4 linked regions of the Drosophila melanogaster genome follow. The protein of the gene in region 1 interacts with the protein of each later gene in a pairwise test. Each region holds a gene or a part of one and is shown in the gene's direction. Other genes may lie near its edges.

Evidence for each region.
Region 2: the proteins of CG14853 (region 1) and CG6287 interact in a two-hybrid assay, tested with the Drosophila melanogaster proteins (one large-scale study listed by BioGRID).
Region 3: the proteins of CG14853 (region 1) and Cpr50Ca interact in a two-hybrid assay, tested with the Drosophila melanogaster proteins (one large-scale study listed by BioGRID).
Region 4: the proteins of CG14853 (region 1) and morgue interact in a two-hybrid assay, tested with the Drosophila melanogaster proteins (one large-scale study listed by BioGRID).

Annotation. Positions count from the first base shown.
Region 1 is NT_033777.3:14,608,098-14,612,656, forward strand, and holds the start of CG14853 (uncharacterized protein), read left to right. Parts: upstream 1-1,544; 5' UTR 1,545-2,010; intron 2,011-4,559.
Region 2 is NT_033779.5:11,150,993-11,157,453, reverse strand, and holds CG6287 (uncharacterized protein), read left to right. Parts: upstream 1-1,732; 5' UTR 1,733-1,852; coding exon 1,853-1,936; intron 1,937-2,320; coding exon 2,321-2,371; intron 2,372-3,889; coding exon 3,890-4,044; intron 4,045-4,899; coding exon 4,900-5,119; intron 5,120-5,182; coding exon 5,183-5,315; intron 5,316-5,427; coding exon 5,428-5,783; 3' UTR 5,784-5,948; downstream 5,949-6,461.
Region 3 is NT_033778.4:13,768,210-13,772,956, forward strand, and holds the start of Cpr50Ca (cuticular protein 50Ca), read left to right. Parts: upstream 1-1,705; 5' UTR 1,706-1,764; intron 1,765-2,556; 5' UTR 2,557-2,765; coding exon 2,766-2,807; intron 2,808-4,747.
Region 4 is NT_033779.5:4,442,315-4,446,281, reverse strand, and holds morgue (modifier of rpr and grim, ubiquitously expressed), read left to right. Parts: upstream 1-1,601; 5' UTR 1,602-1,674; coding exon 1,675-1,818; intron 1,819-1,880; coding exon 1,881-3,212; 3' UTR 3,213-3,412; downstream 3,413-3,967. Other genes in the region: Elp3 (elongator complex protein 3), read right to left, coding at 1-170, 224-1,089, 1,146-1,387, 1,450-1,471; CG15432 (uncharacterized protein), read right to left, coding at 3,428-3,784.

The DNA of each region.
Region 1 (4,559 bases):
ATTTGCACGTGCGAAGGACGTGATGTTTGGTGTGGCAGGACTTGTGGGAGGCAAAGTGTCCGTGGCGAACAGGAAATCGTGCGGAATCCCTTGCAACACGCAAAACGGGATTGCAACTGCCAACGTAAATTTCCCTTTTTTCGGAAACAAACGCAAGCTTTCATTTATGCTGACTGGAATGAGTTTTTCGCGCTTTCGCCCAAATAGAAAAGCGAAATGGAAAAGTGGAACGAGTTAAATAACACAAATGCTTGTAGATCTTTTTTCTGCTGACAATCTAATGGCCGCTTAGGGATTAATGCTAGCTGCAAAAAAAATTAGGAATAGCATTAATTCAGCTTATGACAGTCGGAAATTGTAATGGAAGTTTTTGGAGCACTGCTTAAACAAAAATTATTGCACCAATCATCCCTTGACCTTTTTGATTGTTGCAAATGTGCAAGGACCGTAGTTGAAGGACAGCACAAGCACATTTTTTCAAGAGTTCAAAATGGCATTCTTTGCATTACACATCACAATATTTAATATTCAGATTAAAAATGATATTTACTGCACCAATACCAGGGAGATTTAATTTTGTTCCTCCCCCAAAAGCATGCCACAAAAATGCTGAAAAGCGAAATGCGGAAACCTCATAGGAGTACTCAGTACCCAGCATCCATCCTCGTCGGGCTGCCTCCAGCATCCGCCACTCGAGGGCATACATGGATCCATATATGCAGTGTAGCTGAGGAACAAAAAAGAATACCATAAATGTATAAGCAAGGATTCGCACTAAGCCGGCATCTCTTAATTCACACTCAATGGGCCGCAAAAATCTCTCGCTGCGCTCCCGTTGCGTACGCTCTGCATAGTATTTTTCCCAGCTGGCTTGCCACTCGCGTTGCATGAACACCCACACTAACACTGATAAATCTATACCTTCACAAAAACACACACACACAGAGACGGAGGGCAGACAACATGGCCACAATCAGTCGGCCATCAGTCTTTGGCCTGCACCATTTCCGTATCCGCTCCGCTCTGTTGTTTGTTTTGTTTCTCTGCTGTAACACAGCGATAGAGTTACAGAGAGAGCGAGAGAGAAAGAGCTTTGTAAGAGCAGAGCTTTTATATGAAAGGTTTACAATATTCAAAATACCATTAAACTTACAAAGATGCTAACATTTAATTTTGAAATAATTTAATACATAATAAATGAATAACTAATTAGTTATAAAAAATGGGGTTGCAACAATCAGTGGCTTGTTTCATTGTATAATTCTGTATTAAAACACAGAAAAATACAATGTATTATCTAAAGTATATATATTTATAGGAACGTATGGTCATTACTGAGAAAACAAAACTCTCCAAAAAACCATTTCATTAAAAATTAGCTGAAAAGTACTTCATCATACCCCTCACTGCATACAGGGTATTCAAAAAAGTGAGAGCAAAGCGCGTTGAGAGAGAGAAAGCTGGCAAAAGAGAGCGGGAGAGAGCCGAAAGCTTTTACTTGAGCAAGGTAAAAGCGAACAAGTGTGTATAAAAAGGACATTTCGTTCAGTCGTCGACTTTGTTAATTAAGCGAAACTGCGACGCAAAAAAGCGGAACAAATTTTCTTTGGCCACAGAGAAAAACGTTTCCATTTTCCGCTGCAACAAATTATTTAAAAAGTAAAACATACTGTTTGTCGTTTACTTGCATAAAAAACAATCGTGCATCTGAAAATTGTGAATGTTAGCGCGTAACCAGTGAACCAAAATCGAAGGACGTGTTTTGTGTGTGTAAGTTTATGCAAAGAAAACACTTGCAACCATTTTTGCAGCTTCAACTGCGTAGAAGCCAAGGAAAACACACGTTAATTACATTATACCCACGCCGCAGAATCTTTGATTCGCTGAAAGTCCTGGGACTCAGTACTAATTAATCCTGGGACTTGCTGCTTCCACAGCTGGGAAAATTCCGAGAGGCTGCAAATGCATTAAGCAGGTGGACGGAACACCGCACACCGTAAATAATTGAAGGTAGGTGAAGTTGCCCTGTCAGCAGGCCAGTGAAACTGATGCCAGATTTCAACCCACATCACCGCCACGAATCCACGCATTAACCTTCGTCCTTGGCGGGAATTGTGTGCTCTTCTGGTCGGCATTTTTGTATATTTTAATTATTTATTTCTGCCACTCGAGAGCGGTTGCCACCCCAGAGTGCTGAGCACTCGAAACTTTCTGCACAGCAACACATTTTTAATGATGTGCTAAACGATCATCTCGAGGCCCATGTAAATTTTCACCTCGAAATGCGGAGCTTAACCCCTTGGGTTTTCATGCGACATATTTGTAAAATGTAGATGCTGGCAAAAGGAAATGCCCTATGGCCGAAAATAATGGAACGATGTTGTTGTCTAATTATTTTATGTTGCTTAGTTAGCTTCCAGTTTCACTGTCTAGAAATATACAAGAATTCACATTTTAGAACTACTTTCTTAAACAATTTAATCTTGTTTTACAAAAGTAATAGGCTTAAGTACGTAGAAATCTTGCCATTTGATAAAAATTATATAGATAGATAGGCATCTATTATTTTTGCCCCATAAGAAGGATAACCCTTGGGGTTATTTTTTTGTTGAGTGCAAAATTGAAACAACAAAATATATCCCCTTTATTGCCAATTGAAAATATAGAACATTATATGTGCATTCTCTTATTACTTTAATTTTGAAAAATACATTTAAAATTGAAGTGTGATGAACGCATATATTGCAGTTTAATATCAATAAACAAAAAGTCTAAAAGTGAAAAATAATTTTTGCAACACTTAAAGCGCCAAACTCTGCAGACTGGTGACTTAGTGCATATAGTATTTTCCGGGTTTGTGACAATCACTTCACTGGTTTTTTGTTTCGGGCTCTTCTTGGCTTGTCACCAGCGTCTTTGGGTCGAGTTGGCGGGCACTCATAAATATTTCAAGAAGTCAAAGCTGGGCTGTGTATGTCTTGTGTGTCCTTTTCCTAGCAAATATGTAAGCAGCCGCAACTTGTTAGCGTGTGTGCCTGTACAAACACTAGCAAACGACAGCGTTTCGGCTTCGCTTTCTGTGTCAGCCAGCGGCTTTTTCATCCTCTTCATCATCTTCTTGGCCAAGAAGACGTCGCATTGTTGCTATAATTTTAATTACCACTTGGGTGACTTTTGCGCCGTGAGTCGGTGAAAAAGAGACTCACTGTATGAGTGAATGAATGAATGAATGGCACAAGACAGGCTGCCGAGTGGAGGCTAGAAAGCATCTGAAAGACAGAGTGTGTATGTGTAGCTCGCATATATAAATTCCTGTTTAGGTATAATGCAGAACCGACAAACAAAAACCCTTGCAATACAATGCGAACAATTTCAGAGAAAAGCCGCATTGTTATGGCAAAGCCACAGGCAACTGGAAAATATTGCGCATACGCCGCGTACGGCTGCCACTCAAAGTTATGCTGCGTATGGGAAATGTTACACACAGCATAATTGCTTATTTGCCGCTTCGGTGGCGATCTAAACCATATTCGGTTTAGACACAGACGAATAGATAACCATCCCCCATCCGCCAAGTATCGATTGTAATTCATACAAAGCCAATGACCACAGCGAACCGCCCAAATGTCCGTCCTTGGGCGTTTTGTTGGCGGGTGGCAGCAAATTAAACTTTCTATAGACAAGTTTTTCGGTCTACAGAAACTTTTTCTTTGCCATATTATAATACCTAAGGAGCGATAAAATATGAGAGAAGCTTCGCAACCAAACGACGTGGCTTGAAATGGGGTTGTATTTGTTTCCATTAAAGTAGATACTTGAAATTTTAGCCATCTACAAGATTTCCCTGGCGAATATTAAAGTACTTTTAGTTTTCTAATACAAGTTTCCTACGAAAGTTTGGAAAGTTTTGGCATATTTAATGTTATGGGTTGTCAATTCAATCGACCGTCATTTTATGAGAGTACTAGTCAAAGTTTATTGAATTTTTTCGACATCCATTCCTCATATTTTCAGATTCCTTTGAAATTCTAAAGCCAATTTCTGCTGGGCTTAGAAAATAAGCATAAAAGGTCACCAAAGCTTACACAAGCCACTTTACATTGATTGGAAGAGCAAAAGTTGCGATGACTATGTAGTTAGCAGTCAAAAGCATAGGAAAGGTACTTTACCATAAGGTACTGTTACCATAATATTTGGGCAACGAATAAAAAAGACAGTTAAATGGCCAACGCTTGGCAGCCGCTCAAAGAGCCGCAAACGTAATTGCAACAGCAGCAATAGCGATAACAACGTTTTTGGGACGATCATTATAATCATGCAATTTGGCCCACGTCCTTTCAAGGACTGGACGCTTTCAGCCAAAGGAAGAAAATATTTACAAAGAATTGTTATTGCAGTTTGCTAAGTCGTTTGACTGTGCTGTCCCATGAGCATATTTATACTCTATCATAAATTCGCCTTTTATTGACAACATTTTGCCAGGCGACACCACAGAACGAAAAACAAACTTTATTCTTCAGGTTTTTGAGGTTTTTAAAGTAGCACATTCGTGAGCTTTA
Region 2 (6,461 bases), on another chromosome or scaffold:
CTATGTATTAGCTAAACCTAAATGAAATATTACTTTTTAATACTAGCATAAAGTTAAAAACAAAACTAGATACGATCCTTTGCAGCTAAGAAGGGGACAAGCGGAAAACTTAAGTTTAAATGGTCAGTTGATGAGAAGTGTGTATGTTAGAATATTGCACATAATTCACAGAACTGGTAATTCAATATATTATAATGGTATATATTAAAAAAGATACACACATTTATAGAGCTGCATATATAAATATGTATGTATGTTCTTGCCATAATTAACAAAATTTAAACCGATAAAGATACATCAGCCGGCATTTTGTAAGCGTGAAATCCAAAAACTAATTAAAATAATATTGATTAAAAAATAACTGATTATCCCAGATATTGTTAGATACTTTCTGGTAACGGAAAGGTGAACTTTGCCATGAAAATTTCATCAGATCTGATAGGAATATGTTGAAGATATTTTGTAAGATGCCTTAAATTTCTCAACTCAAGTTCTTTGAAAGTTTTCGAAAACTAAACTTGATAAATTCATATATTCCATTACATAACCTTCTAGCAGACGGACAGAGGTCTGCAAAGAAGTAAAACTGGTTTGCTTCAAAAGTATAGCAATTTTTTTGTAATAATAAACTCTTATTTCCGATTATAATAAAACAAATGAAAACCAAACCAAGCAATTTCGATTTGTTGACACTCTTGAAAACTATAAAAAAAAAACACAAACATACAAACAAGTTTTATAGCAAGCATACTGAAACTTTAAAGATACGCCTATATATAATTAAATTTAGCGGTAATAACTTCTCTACTTTTCAAAGCCACTTAAATAAGAAAAGCAAACCTTATTTTTTTAGCCTAAATAACTTATTGAACTGGAATAGAAGGTGGAAAATTTGACAAGAGCACGCATGAAATTTCCGTAATCAATATATTATTAACCAAAGATCCCCACACCGAATACCCTGGAAAGATAAAAATGAACTATTGGTGGAAATATCAACACCGCTCCCAATTTATATAGAATATTTTATACATACAAAACATATACATATTGTAAAAAATGAGAAAAACGGTAACTAAAATCCAATCAGCAATTTTCAAAAATTGTATGTAAATAGTTAATGATATTTCAATTTGTTACCTAATTATTTTGTTAACAACTTTGTAAGATTCCTTTAATTTAATGTTAAGGATGAATACCTGCCATCACCTTGACGACATTTTGTTGTTTTCGTTTTCATTTTCCGCATTCAAATGTTGTTCACAATATGTTTTTGGAAAATACGTAGTTAAATGAAAGCTAAATTGCAAATAAAAGCAAATACAATAAAAATATTAAAAATAAATGCAGTCTTATCTATTCGGCGTGAGTTTGATTATATGGGTAAGTACTTTTTTTTGAACCCTATTAGAAAGTAAATAAATGCATAATACAATTAAAGTTAGAAAGCTTGCCATATTTTTTTACAAAAGCTGAAATTTTTAAATCATTTTTAATCACAGGGTCGTCCGTGGGTTAAAATTGTTGTTTTGCGTGCAAAAATCGAAAACAACTCACACACGCACACTCAAGAAGAACAAATCGCGCGAGAAGAAGGAGAGAACTTTAAGATCCAAGTGGCGCTCTCCGATCCTCTCAGTGGTTTGGTTATCACCCAGAAAAAACAACAATCGCACTGCACCGGCGAGAGGCATTCGAAGTCAGGTTCGATGGCCCGAGAAACCCACTCTCGAAGTCAGTTCAATTTGTTTGCTCGGCGGCGCAGATCGTGAGTTGCGGAAAGTAATTGGCAAAAATTAACGCAATCTACCGGTTGTCCAGATTTTTCAGTGTATTCATTACCCACCCAAATATGCCCCTCAATATAAGAAAAGTGCTGGTCTGCGATGCTGTGGACAAATCCTGCGTGGAGCTGCTGGAACAGCATGGGATTAAGGTAAGGTTCGCCAATCCCCTGACGTGACAGTCGATTATTTGTTGGAGTAAGCAAAAGCTTACACCCATACAAGTGCTCAAAAGTACAGTGCGCCCTCGGATAAAAATACAAATAATTAAACTAAGTATAACCACACAAAAAATGTTTTTTCGACGAAAACTAACACTAAAAAGATATTAAATATTTGAAAGTCTATGCCTACAATGCAATTCATTTAAATTAAGCTATTCGATTGCTTTTACTTATCGAGTACACACTGTATGTGAATTTGCAAGCATGTAAAAGCGCTTAGAAGTGGACAAATAGAAAATAAGTGCATTTAATTTATTGCACAATTTAATCAACGTTGTTGACCATATATTTTCCTTCTTTTTTTTTGACAAGGTTACCTACAAACTAAAGCTCCCCGTGGAGGAACTGTGTCAGGAAGTTAAGGTAAGTGGCTTAGGGATTTCAGTACAGGTAAATAAGTAAATACATACACACGTTCAGATGTATATGAACGAGTTAAGTCGCTGGGATGAAAGCTTTGCGAATGATTCAAGTGTGGTTAAAAACATGTGCAACGCTCTGAGATATGGGTGCATTGTATATGTGTGTGTACATATATGATAGTACGCGTGGGCGTTACATAATAATAACATTTCAATTAGTCTGTAACTAAGCAATCTAAGCACATCAAACCGAAAGTATATTTCAAAACTACTGCAGTATGGAGATTGTATTTAACAAAATTAAAACTAATGATAAGGAATTGACCCCTTTTTTTAACATTATCATCTTTGTTATGGAATATAGAATGTTTTTACAAATCTTATTTTCCTTGTCTCCAAACTTTAAGCCTTATTGGGTTAATGGCTAAGAGAATATTTTCACCGCAGTTATAAAGATAAAATAAACAAAAACTAGAAAAAAACATTTTGTGGCTTCTTCAAATCAAAATCAATTACTCTCATAATTTATTTAAATTTGTTTTCTCTTGCACGAAAACAGCTTTAAATTTTGACAAGCATGTTTGTCTCAATTAGTTAAACCGCTTCATGTCTGTATGGGCACGAATGCATGTTTTGAATTTTATTTGATTTAGAGACGGATACTTTTAATTGGTGATTTTATTGAATAACATAAAAGCAAATTGCAAGGGTCAGAAAATAAGTACTTGACAACAAATTTTTTTTCACGTTCGCAGAGAGAAAAAGAATTTAGTCTGAACCAAATGGTTTTTATACCCGTTAGATTCTTTGAAATTTATGTAACAGGTAGCAGGAAAGCATATAAAGTATTATATATATATTATTGATTAGATTCATTGGCCAAGTCGGTATGTCCGTCCTTCTGTCCGCCCGTCTGAACGCAAACTACCACGCCCACAATTTTGACAATTTCTATCGATATACCAAAGAATTTTTGTAATTTCGCTCGTTCGCACTCCCACAAACCAAATAACGGGTATCTGCTAGTCGAGTATCTCGACTATATTATTCTCTATTGTTCATTTTAAACTGCCCAGCATTTTAAACCACTTTTCGAAATGCACTTTCAGATTTTATTCTACAAAATAAAAAAAACTATTCCTTTTAAATGGCAATAATCTGCTGTGAACAATTGGGCCAGACATTGTTATCACCATTTATTACTATCGGTCCAATAGTTCTTATCAATCAAACGGCCGATCAGACGATGTTGCCTCAACATTAAATAAATTGTTTCCAGTAGGATCACAAATTGCCGGAAAATATCAAGAGGTTCAATAATCTTAGCCAGAAACATACATACGCCAGACGAATTGCTTTTATTTATGATAAAGTACAGGTGTTAGGTGGTATCAATCACGTTTCCAGAAGAAAGCAGTAATCGATGCCATCCAGATGGCCAGGGAAATGAGTTAGGCAATTAGATGACAAATATTTATATTTACCCAGTTGCTAATTATTAAATTACACCGCATTTCAGAATTTCGACGCAGCCATCGTTCGTTCGGATACCAAAATAACCGCGGAAGTTTTGGCCGCCGGATCCGGCAGCCTGAAGGTCGTTGGCCGTGCGGGGGCGGGTGTTGACAACATCGATGTTCCCGCAGCCACAGCGCAAAATGTCGTTGTCCTGAAGTAAGTGCTCCGTAAGCCTCCGGTGCATTGCAGGGCGGGAAAAGAGTAGCCACGAACACTATGCCACAAGACCAACTTGTATTTGTAGCTGAAAGTCTGATATAGAAAGTACAAACAGTACAAAGTACTTATTTATGGTTAATTAGAGCTCTTGCCATGCAATATATTTCATGGATATTTTACCATTCTGTTTATAGTTCAAGTTGGTAAACAATTCAATCCATTTTCGGCTCCGATTTCATTTATTTGCATTTTTAAACAGTTTCTAATTTATGGAACGAAAATATTAATTAGTTGTTCTCGGAAATGAATTTATGTAGCCCTTTATGGCAGATTTATCAATTGCGAGGAAATATTACTGTTCAGTAAAATTGTGGTAATCTCAATAATGATCATAAACATGGGTATTCAAACTAGCAGTGTTTTATGGTATGCAGCGTAGTGTAATCTCCGATGGCGCAGCTCACAAATAATTATGCGCATTCCGAATCGCAGGATTGGCAGTTGATATGCCATCCCAGCCCAGAATACCCATGACTTGGGTCAATTGACGCCGTTTGACACGCATAATTAAGGGACGACGAGTGTCGATGGAGTTGCGTGGGTGTTTGGGTGGCTATGGGTTGTGGGTGGTGGGTGCTGGGTTGGCCACATCCATGTCAGATGTCCTGGAAAGCTGGAAAATTGCCATATTTCCCACCTCCCATTCAATTCTTTTTTGGCGGAATTTGCATAATGCTGTCTAGTCACAACAAACGCCACCCATTTGCCCACCAGAAACGCTCAACTTAGCGCAACAGCTAGTGTCTAGCGAGGCATTTAGGGAATGTTTAACTAAACTCTCGTCGCTTTCAGCACTCCGGGTGGCAATTCCATTTCGGCCTGTGAGCTGACGTGCATCCTAATTGGCTCCCTGGCCCGTCCCGTCGTCCCCGCCGGTCAGAGCATGAAGGAGGGTCGCTGGGACAGGAAGCTCTATGCCGGCACAGAGCTGTATGGAAAAACCCTGGCCGTTCTCGGATTGGGACGCATTGGACGCGAGGTCGCCATTCGGATGAAGACCTGGGGCATGCGGGTGTGTTTTGAATGGGGTATTTACTTATTTTGGAATTTTAATCGAACTCTGAGTGCTTTGCAGATTATTGGTTACGATCCCATCACCACGGAGGCTGAGGCCAAGGCGGCGGGCATCGAGAAGATGACGCTGGAGGAGATTTGGCCACTGGCGGACTACATAACCGTGCACACGCCGCTGATCCCAGCCACCAGAAGTAAGTCGCGCATTGATAGAATATTTATAAGAGATTAAGAGATTAACATTTAACAGCAGTATGCATAAAATTCAAGCTAAACTATATAGATTTCTTTGCTGAATCCCATCAGATCTCATATCGGCGGAGACACTGGCCAAGTGCAAACAGGGCGTTAAGGTGGTGAATGTGGCCCGGGGCGGCATCATCGACGAGCAGGCCGTGCTCGATGGCCTTGAGAGCGGAAAAGTGGCCGGCGCGGCCTTCGACGTTTATCCCGAGGAGCCGCCAAAGTCTGCGGTCACCAAGGCCCTCATCAGTCATCCCAAGGTGGTGGCCACGCCGCATCTGGGCGCGAGCACTTCGGAGGCGCAGGTCCGTGTTGCCGTGGAGGTGGCGGAGCAGTTCATCGCCCTCAATGGAACCTCGCCGAAGTACACCAGTTATGCGGGCGTTATTAACAAGGAGGCACTCGCCCATTACCAGTGAAGCAAATCGAATATTCACAACCATCAGCACATTCTAAATTCGATATTCAGCATTTATAAATAAATAAGTTTACAACCAGGGATGTAAACAACGTAAAAACCAAAATACACAAGTAAAAATAAAAAGAAGAAGAGTTTTCTTAAAATACTCTCAGATCTAAATATTTATATATGTATATTATTATTCCTAGAAAGTTACCATTTCAAGGTATCGAAATGCTACAAGGACTTAGACGAAAGCTGACTTGTTTTCCGAATTTCGTACTACCGTTTTGTATTTTGATAAAAAAAAATCAAGGCTTTTACCAGAAAGCAAGTTTAATGTTGATTTTACATATAGCCATTCAAGGAAAAGCGGAGTTTCAGTGAACTTTCCTGCCAACTTTTGTGTGTCATAATCTTCAGCATGTGCGAATACGTTCAACTGAACCAACATTGCCAGGTGAAAGTTCATTTATGGCAAAGGCACCACTTGATATTCTTAAACAATTTAACAAATTTAAAAGAGACCAGTAGTATGATACTTATTCTGATTCAATTGCAGCAGCTTAATGGAAAAGCGCTCCATTTAAAGAAGAAATTCATAAATTCTGCAACAGAATCACACAATGGGAGCTCATATAATGGACAAAAATGTATATGGAACTGTGAATTCTTTTTCCCTGGAAATGAGGAAGAT
Region 3 (4,747 bases), on another chromosome or scaffold:
CGACAACGACGACGATGACTGCATCCGCAATGCAACTTTCTGTGTGAGATTTCCGCCTATTGCAGCTGCAACTGGCGACGCATCTGGTGGCCACATGGGGGTTTCCGGCCGGAGGGAGCGGCTCCTCCAACTTCTGGCGCATCTTCGGTGTCTGAATTTATTACGAGATTGCAAATCTCCACCGCGATTACAGCAATTATGTGGCTTTCGGTAGGAGGTTGGCACATTGCCCGAGGAACGTGCCCAGAGGTGTGGAATTAAGACTCTCGGCGGAAGGGGTAAAGAAAGTGATGTCGAAAGCTCTGGTCATGAAAAAGAAACGATTTTATAAAATTGATAAAAATTATATGTATTCATTAGTAAGCTGGGAATATTACCCCCCCCCCCCCCTTGCTTAAATATTAAGTATACGCCCCTGGTCGCTTACATGGCTCTCCTCTAATAACTCAATTTCAACACCAGCAAAAACAAATGTGAAAGTGCCAAAAGCCGCCTCCCCCCCTCTCTCTCTCACTCTCTTTCCCGTGGTAACCACCAATCATAGCCAAAAATCCCCAATCAGCTCAGCATCTGGCCCAGGTTTCGATGCACTCGAACAGATAGTCCGACCTCGCCACTCTAAGCCGCTTTAAAGTCCCACCATGGGCTGCAATAAAATAATATAAAATGAAATAAAGATAATTTGTCAGCTACTTCATTTGCGGCAGCGCGTGCGTGACTCGCGGTTGCCTGTTGCATAATATCTGCAGTTGAACTTTCCCAGGGGTTAGCACTCTCTTACCCACCAGTCACCACATCACACCAACCAAGGGGTATAAGTTCTATAAATCAAATATAAATATCAATATCAAACTTATAAATATATAAGTTCCTATAAATCACATAATCAGGCTGGGCCAAGCCTTATAGGAAATGCGTGGCAGTGCATTTCACTTGTTGCCATTAATAAATTAATTATACAACCATGACGGCACTGAGCTCAGTTTTATCCCCAGACGCACGCACTCTAAGCCCTCGTAAAAAATAAAGAAAAATGCACACAGATGGTAGGAAAACTTGTACATTTCGTTGTCATCAGCACAGCAACAGCGCATATTGTGCAAATGTTGATGGTCAAAAGTTGGCTAACGCCTTGGCCAAAGCCATGGCCAAAAAAGCAGCTCGAAATGCAGCCAGCTAAAAGACAAATATCAAGTGAGTGGTGAGGTTTTCAATTTTCAAAAGTCGAAAAAGAAATGCTCTGTTTGAAGAATATATATATCAAATATAAAGACAACTTTAATAAACTCTTAATCATTGGAATTTATAAAAAATGTAACAATTAATATAGGTAAAATCATTTTTGGCATCGTAGCACCTGTCTAATTTCCATTTATCCCCACAGATTTGGAATGCAAATGAATTTCCCCGAATAAATTGCAAATTCGACTTCCTTCTGAGCGTTGCAAATTTAATCAGCAGCTTATTATGCCCCACACATAAAAAAATAAAATTCAAAAAAAAAAGAAGGAGGAGAAAAAATATGGAAAATGCAACAGCAATACGCCAGACATGGCCGAGTCTTTTCGGCAAAGGCAAAGGAATGGAAATGGAAAATGGGAAAAGCGAGGCAGCGAAAAGCGAGCCAACAACAAACCGGCTGTCTCCGTGAAAACTGCGCGGCCCCGAACACACACAAAACTCAAGTGGCGCGAAAATTCGAGGCACAGTTGCAACAGCAGCGCGCAAGCGTGCGGTTTTCCTCCACAGTTTTTCCAGCCAAAAGTAAACAAGGCAAAGCGAAACGAAACGAAACGAAAACTCAAATTAAAAGTCGCATTAAATAAATGAGAAACGAACGAGGACTGCGACGAGCAAGTTTAAACAAAGCTCAAAGACAAAGTTGAATGAATATAGTCAAAGTTTGCTTTTCTCCGCAAAGGATATGAGAAAATCATTTTGTAAAAAAAAAAAAAATATAAAGAGCTTGCATTACATTTAACCAAAGTGCTGGCTAACAAGGATATAATATACCTTAAAATAAATTAAATCAAAAAAATATAAACGCATCAAGTTAAACGTCGAGCAAATTAATGAATATTTTACTGAATGACAAAAGTGAAACTTATAAGTGAAACATCTAAGGACGAATAACGAAAACGATTAGTTAGATAGTTAAATTTGTTAAATTAGATTTTATGGTCTTGTTTTATCTCAAAAATCTCTTAGTTACTAATGAAAAAGATTTTGGTAAAGAATATAAGATCAGAAATAATTCTCATTAAACATAATTCATTCATTTGTCATTCATTTGATTTTCTAAGAACAGGAATTTTTGAAATCGCAGGATACTATTTTTCTGCCTTCATAGTTTTAAAAAGTACTCATTTAACACAGCCTTTGCAGATGTGTCATCTGTTAAAGTACCATATAATGATTTTTGTTTTACTAATTTGTTAATTATGATGTTTCATAATTATGGGGAAATGTTTAAAACAGTTAATATGAGAATTTGAAAAGCACTTTTCGCAATTAGCTGCTGTGATAGTTAACCAAACTGAACGAATACTTTTCCAGGTCCGACAAACAAACAATAAGGTTCAACGCTGAACAAACTCATTTACAATTTGTATTTAAAATACCAAGACGGCGAAAAACAGCGTGGGAGAATAACAGAAATTTCAACAACAATTACAAATTGAGCTGCCACTTTTGTGGAAACGCGAAAAGTGCAACGTGCAACTTGACGCCTCATTTGCCCGAACTTCCGCCGACATCCAAGGAAAATGGAAATGGCTATCTGCGGCGGTGGCATCCCCACCTTAATGGTAAGTACATGGGGTCGGTTCGTTTCGGGTCGGGTTCATCATTCTGAAATTTTAATATAAATAACCGACAACTGCAAGGGCCATCGAGGCGTGAAAACAACAAGCGCCAGTGGAGAGACTTCGAGCGAAATTTCTGGGCGTGGGCCTGGGAAAAGTGTCGGCCTTCGATGCAGCGATTTTCATTTTCTGGCCAGGAAATGGACGCGGCCAGTCACTGCATATGGCGGGCTTCTTCTCATTTTCCTGGCGCACGCACATTTCGCAAGCAATTTATTTTCATTGCACTTGAACTTCAATTAGCCCGGAAACCAGCGAATACTGGCCAGACTTCGTTTAATTACCAGGCATTAAAATCATAAAGCGTATTCCAAAGTATCTTTGCTCAAAAATTCGTTATGCAACTGGCATTGATTGTTTGTGCTTTTTGGCCAAAACGCTCTCCATTTTATGACCCCGGTCTTTATGAAGGCCCGCTGTGGTTATCTAACCGAATCGACATTGGAATCCATATCCAACTGCCGGGACGAAAGGAAAATGCACCAGCAGCATTTGCAATCGAAACTGGAAATTTGCAATTTAAGTGGATGGAAAAAAAAAAAAAAAAGTTTGCGACCATTGCTGGCATTTCTTTTCAGCCAAGTTTCCTTGTGGCCCAGGAAGCACTCGTACCCCCAGCACTTTCTAGACCCGTAAAGTCTTTTATGTGCATTGAACTTGACTTTGCCGCCGGTTTTTGGCCAGGGCAAAAAAGACCAAACTGGTTCTAACTGCCACGGCCACTGCAGTTGGTAACTACCCACGTTGCACCACCCACATCTCACTGCCACATTAACAATTAGCCCAAGCTGTGCCTTTTGCCTGCCTGCTACCATTTCTTCTGCTGTCTCGACTCGCTCTCCGTCTTGGTCTTGCTCTTGGTCTGGAACTTAGTCTTGGCCCTGGGTCTTGGCCCACTCCACTCCACACCATACCACTCGTCTGGGTGGCACGTTTTTCCGGCTTGTTGCATACAACAAGAGACGATGCCGTAAGCGCATATTGCAGCCAACAATTAAACAAACTTGTGGCCAAACAGCAATTACAGAAACCATTTAATGAAGCAACCTGCTCGACATGAAAGAAAGCGAACGAGAACAATAAAGTCCAGAGGGAATGTGTTTGTATTGATTGGGTTAAAGACATGGAACTTTAGAGAAAAAATTATAAATAAATAAAAACATACACGAATCCAAAACTTAATCAAATCAAACAAAAGATAGTGATTTAGTTTATATTAACCCAAAACGAATTTCCACAAAATAAATGATTTTTCTAAAACTAATTGAATGCTGATACAAAAAACACCTTCTGTTTGCCCACTGAGATGTTGATTCCCTTGTAACTAAGAAGCCAGAAGATGATCAAAACTAATTGAATTGCTTTTACAAGTTTATCACCTCCATGCCATGCTGACTTTTATTATTGGTTATTTGTCTTGAAAAAATAAACCGAGTACAATAAAAGCCAGTTCAGCACTTTTAAACTGCCAGTACAATAAATACAACTTGTAAACAGCTGTAAAACTCGAAAGCCAAATGGTAAAAACGTAATTTAATCAAACTTTAGCTCTCGCAGCTCTCGCTGCAAATATTACAGTTTCAATTTCCCAAATAATGTCAAAACAAAAGAAAACTTTTAAAACGCCATGCAGATAGTAGTATTAGAAGTAGGAGTAGAAGTTGAAGTAGTAGTTTCGCTCCTTTTGCCTCTCTTAGCGGATCGTAAAGGAATTGTTAACTAGTTTTCGCAGCACTTCTAATGCCATAAAATCCGACTGAGCAAACTGAAACGAACGCAAATAGCAACAATTTTTATCGCTTCTTTGCATTGAGTTTTCAAACGAATCTAGCGCGTGTCCCATCTGAAATGAAAAGACACTTTTTCCGGGCGAAAAAAAAAAT
Region 4 (3,967 bases), on another chromosome or scaffold:
CGCCATTGGCCACATAGTCCCGACGAATTAGCTCAATTTCGTAAGGGCGCACCTTGTTGTGGATTTCCTGAATGCCAACTTCGCGGGTTCTAACATCGCGGCAAGTGGTTCCAAGATCCTTCATGCGGGCCAGCGCCAGTTCACGGAGATTTCCGTGTTCCACGCCGGAACTAAAATGAAGAAAAATGTCAGGTTTATTTAATATATATATCGGACAAGTTACCTAACAAGCGGCATGGGAATGTCGCGCTGTACGCGGTACACTCGCGTCCATGGTGGTACAAGGGCCAAAATCTTCGCCACTAAGTCCACAAGCATGGATGGCGGATATGACTTATATCGCCCGGTTTTCCATAACTCGTAGAGACCAGTGCCGCGAATGACGAGCGTGGGATAGATCTTTAGGCCGTCAGAGCGGAAGGCAGGGTTCTCAAAGTACTCGATAAACTGCTCGATGTCGCGTTCAAAGTCAACATTGGGAAGATCAGGCATCATGTGCGTCACGATCTTATAGCCAGCATCCTTGCCCAGCTGGAAGCTCTCGCACACCGCTCGCACCGTGTGTCCGCGGTTCGTATCCCTGGCCACGTCTTCGTAAACCGATTGCACACCGATTTCCAGCCGGGTGCAACCATAGCTAAGCATATCCGATATGTGCCGCTTTAGGCAGTAATCTGGCCTTGTTTCTATGGTGATGCCAATGCACTTTGTGCGTGACTTCTCCGAGTAGCGTACGGCTTCCGCCACATTGGCGCTGCTGTGGCCGGAGAGGGCGTCGTGTAGGTTGCGGATAAAGTAGTCGCGGTACTCCTCCGGCAGGCACATGAACGTACCGCCCATTACGATGAACTCCACCTTGTCCACACTGTGTCCCAGCTGCTTCAGCTGTTCAACGCGGTGTCGGGTCTGAAGAAAAGGATCGTACCGCGACCGGATGGCTCGCATCGAGGTCGGCTCGTAGCCTGTGTACGACTGTGTCGAGTACTCAAAGTCGCTGTCCGGTCCGCCGGGACAATAGACGCATATATTGCCGGTCATATTGATGTGCGGACAACGATGCGGCTTGCACATGACGGCGACCACGGCGATCTGGATTGAAATAATTGAAATGAATAGTACGCCTTGTGTAAGCAAGTGCGACTTACGCCACTTGCTGTGCGAATGGGCTTTGCCCTCAGCTTTGGAAGCAGAATTTTTTTGGCGTCCTGCGGCACGGCAGCAATTATGTCGACCAGGCGCGGCGAACTGTCCAGTCCATATTTGGAGGCCACCAATGATTTCATCCGATTAAGGTTTACATCCTTTTTGGCTTCGTGCGCCTTCAGCAGCTCCTGAATGATCTCCCCGATGACGAGCACCTGTCGTTCCTGGCGGCTCAATCCCACGCCTGAAATAATTGGCGGGGTAAACGGACGTTTAAAGAATTACTTTCGTAGCGACGTTACCTACCCAACTTCTTTTTTGCCTTCATTTTGCTGATGAATATCACATAAACTGCACGTGTGAAGTTAGCAGCACTTGTTTTGATTCGGTTATCGACCGACCAATAGTCCGATAACCACAACACTGTTTGACAGGTTTTGAAGCTAACACCACTTGGTAACACTTTTAGATGGTCTATCGTTTGTCGATTATTTATTTGTTTTAGCACCAGTTTCTCGGGAGTTCTGTAAAATGACTAGCTGCGTGCCAGCGCATCAGCAAAAGGACCAGGAGCAGTTGCTAAAGGAACTGGCCAGCAGTGGCGACGAGATGGACGACCCGGACGATCCGGACCAGGAACACCACCAGCTGGTAGAGCCGACCTTCTCTTTTTCGGTATGTATACAATAGGCTAGTTTCTTGCGGGCCGATTAATAAATAGCCTTTCCAATTTGCAGAATAGTAACACCTGCTGGGTGTGCAACGGCTACTATGGGCCCAACTTCGGGGAGCCGTTGTGCGGCGCCTGCCACGCCTTCCTGTACAACGCACAGCGGGCGGAGGAGCTGCTCACGGAGCTTTCCGATGACGAGGATTCTGGGAACGACGAGCCGCCGTTCAAGGACAAGCAGGAAGACGAGGAGACCGAAAACGACGTAGACATCATGGGCTTTGAGGATCTGGAGGACCCCCAACCGGCAGCCGTGCCACAACATCCAAATCCGCAGCCACCAATGGAGCCACAGGATCAACAGCCAGCCCAACCAGTTATAGATCTGCCACAGCCGGTGCCGGAGGCTGCGGCACCACGACGCGAGTCTCCGGAGCGCGACTTTGAGCACGAGAGAGCCATTAATCCCTTCCTGCTGCCCATTAAGCGTCCGCGGGCCACGGCTCCCTTGGCTCTGCCCCATTACATGCATGAGCTGGCCGATGGAAGGGCGCGAGTGCATGAATACAACGCCGCCAGCGGAAGCGGAGCAAGTGGCAGCAGCAGAAACATTGTCAACATAATACCCGTCGAGGTGATGCTGAAAATATTTGCCTATTTGGACGACATGTCGCTGTGGATGGCTAGTGAAGTTTGCAAGCAATGGCACGACATTGTCGGGAAAAACACGGCCCAGAGCATGTGGAAGGCGTATATCAAGCAGCGCTGGCCGCTGTTCGACAGTTTGGCAGACAATCCAAACTGGTATCGGCTGTACGGGGCACTGATGTCTTCCTGCTTCTGTCGCACTTGCCTGATTGAGATGGGCGGTCGGGGTCAGGATGCACAGGAGGCAGATCCACAGCTGGGCGATCGGGAGCCGGGCAATGTAATGCGCAACAACTTTCTGCGCGGTGAAGCCAATCTGCTGAACAGCTACGAATCTGAGGGCATATCGGCCATACCGTTGGATCGGCAAAACAACTACTGGCAGGCGACAATTCTGGGGCCACCGGGCAGTCCCTACGAAGGCGGCAAGTTCTTCCTGTTCATATACTTCCCGGAGCGATATCCGATGACGCCGCCCACAGTACGTTTCCTCACCAAAATCCTGCATCCGAATGTTTCGCGGCATGGGGACGTGGGCATCGACATCTTCCAGCAGCACAACTGGTCTCTGGCGCTGAACGTGGCCAAGGTGCTGCTTTCTGTGCAGAGCCTGCTGACCGATCCGTATACCGAAGTCTGCATGGAGCCTGAACTTGGATACATCTATGAGCACGAGCGCGAAAGGTTCGAGCAACTGGTGCGCGCGTGGACATGGAAGTACGCCATGTACGAGCTAATTGCACCGCGCTAGAAGATCAAAAGCCCTCCAAGGACAATGGACTGAAAGTTGGAAACTACCCCTCTTTACGTTGTAACTACATATGCCTGTGTATTTAGCTTAGTTGTGCCATCTGGATTGTTTATTTTGGCCTCCCCTCTCACTTTTCCTGCGCTCCAGGTTGAAACGTAGTCGAAATTACTTAACCTTATAATAAATGTATGCTTTAAGTTACGAGCGGCGTCGCCTCACTTCGTCCAGGACACCTTGGGGATGTCAAAGTGCTCGGTGAGCGTGTCCAGGTGCTCGTTGAATTTCTCCACGCGCTCCTTGTGGGTGGTTTGTGCCTTGTCCATGATTCGCTTGTTGCGCATCTTTTCCTGCTGCTTCTTACTGGCCAGCTCGGCCTTGGTGAGCTTCCGCTCGTAGCCACTGGTGGCGGAGGAGGATGTGGCCCCCGATTCCGCTATTTGCTGCTCCACGAACGCCTTCTGCAGCTCCTTCTCCTTGTCCTTGCCCTTGTGCTTCTTCTTTTTCTTCTTGAGATCCGAATCGTTCTTTAGTTTAAGCTTGCCCTTGGCCACGCAGGCGTACTCGTCGGACATGTCTTTAATGGGTTTTCAATCTGGAAATGGATTGGTAATGAATCCGATCTGTTTACGTTTTTCTTGTTTTTGTTTACACCAACTGCACGTTGTTATCTTTACATAATTTCTGATATTCGATGTTATTACCTGACCAGAAATATATCGATGGCATTTTATCGAATACATTTGAAATGTTACAAA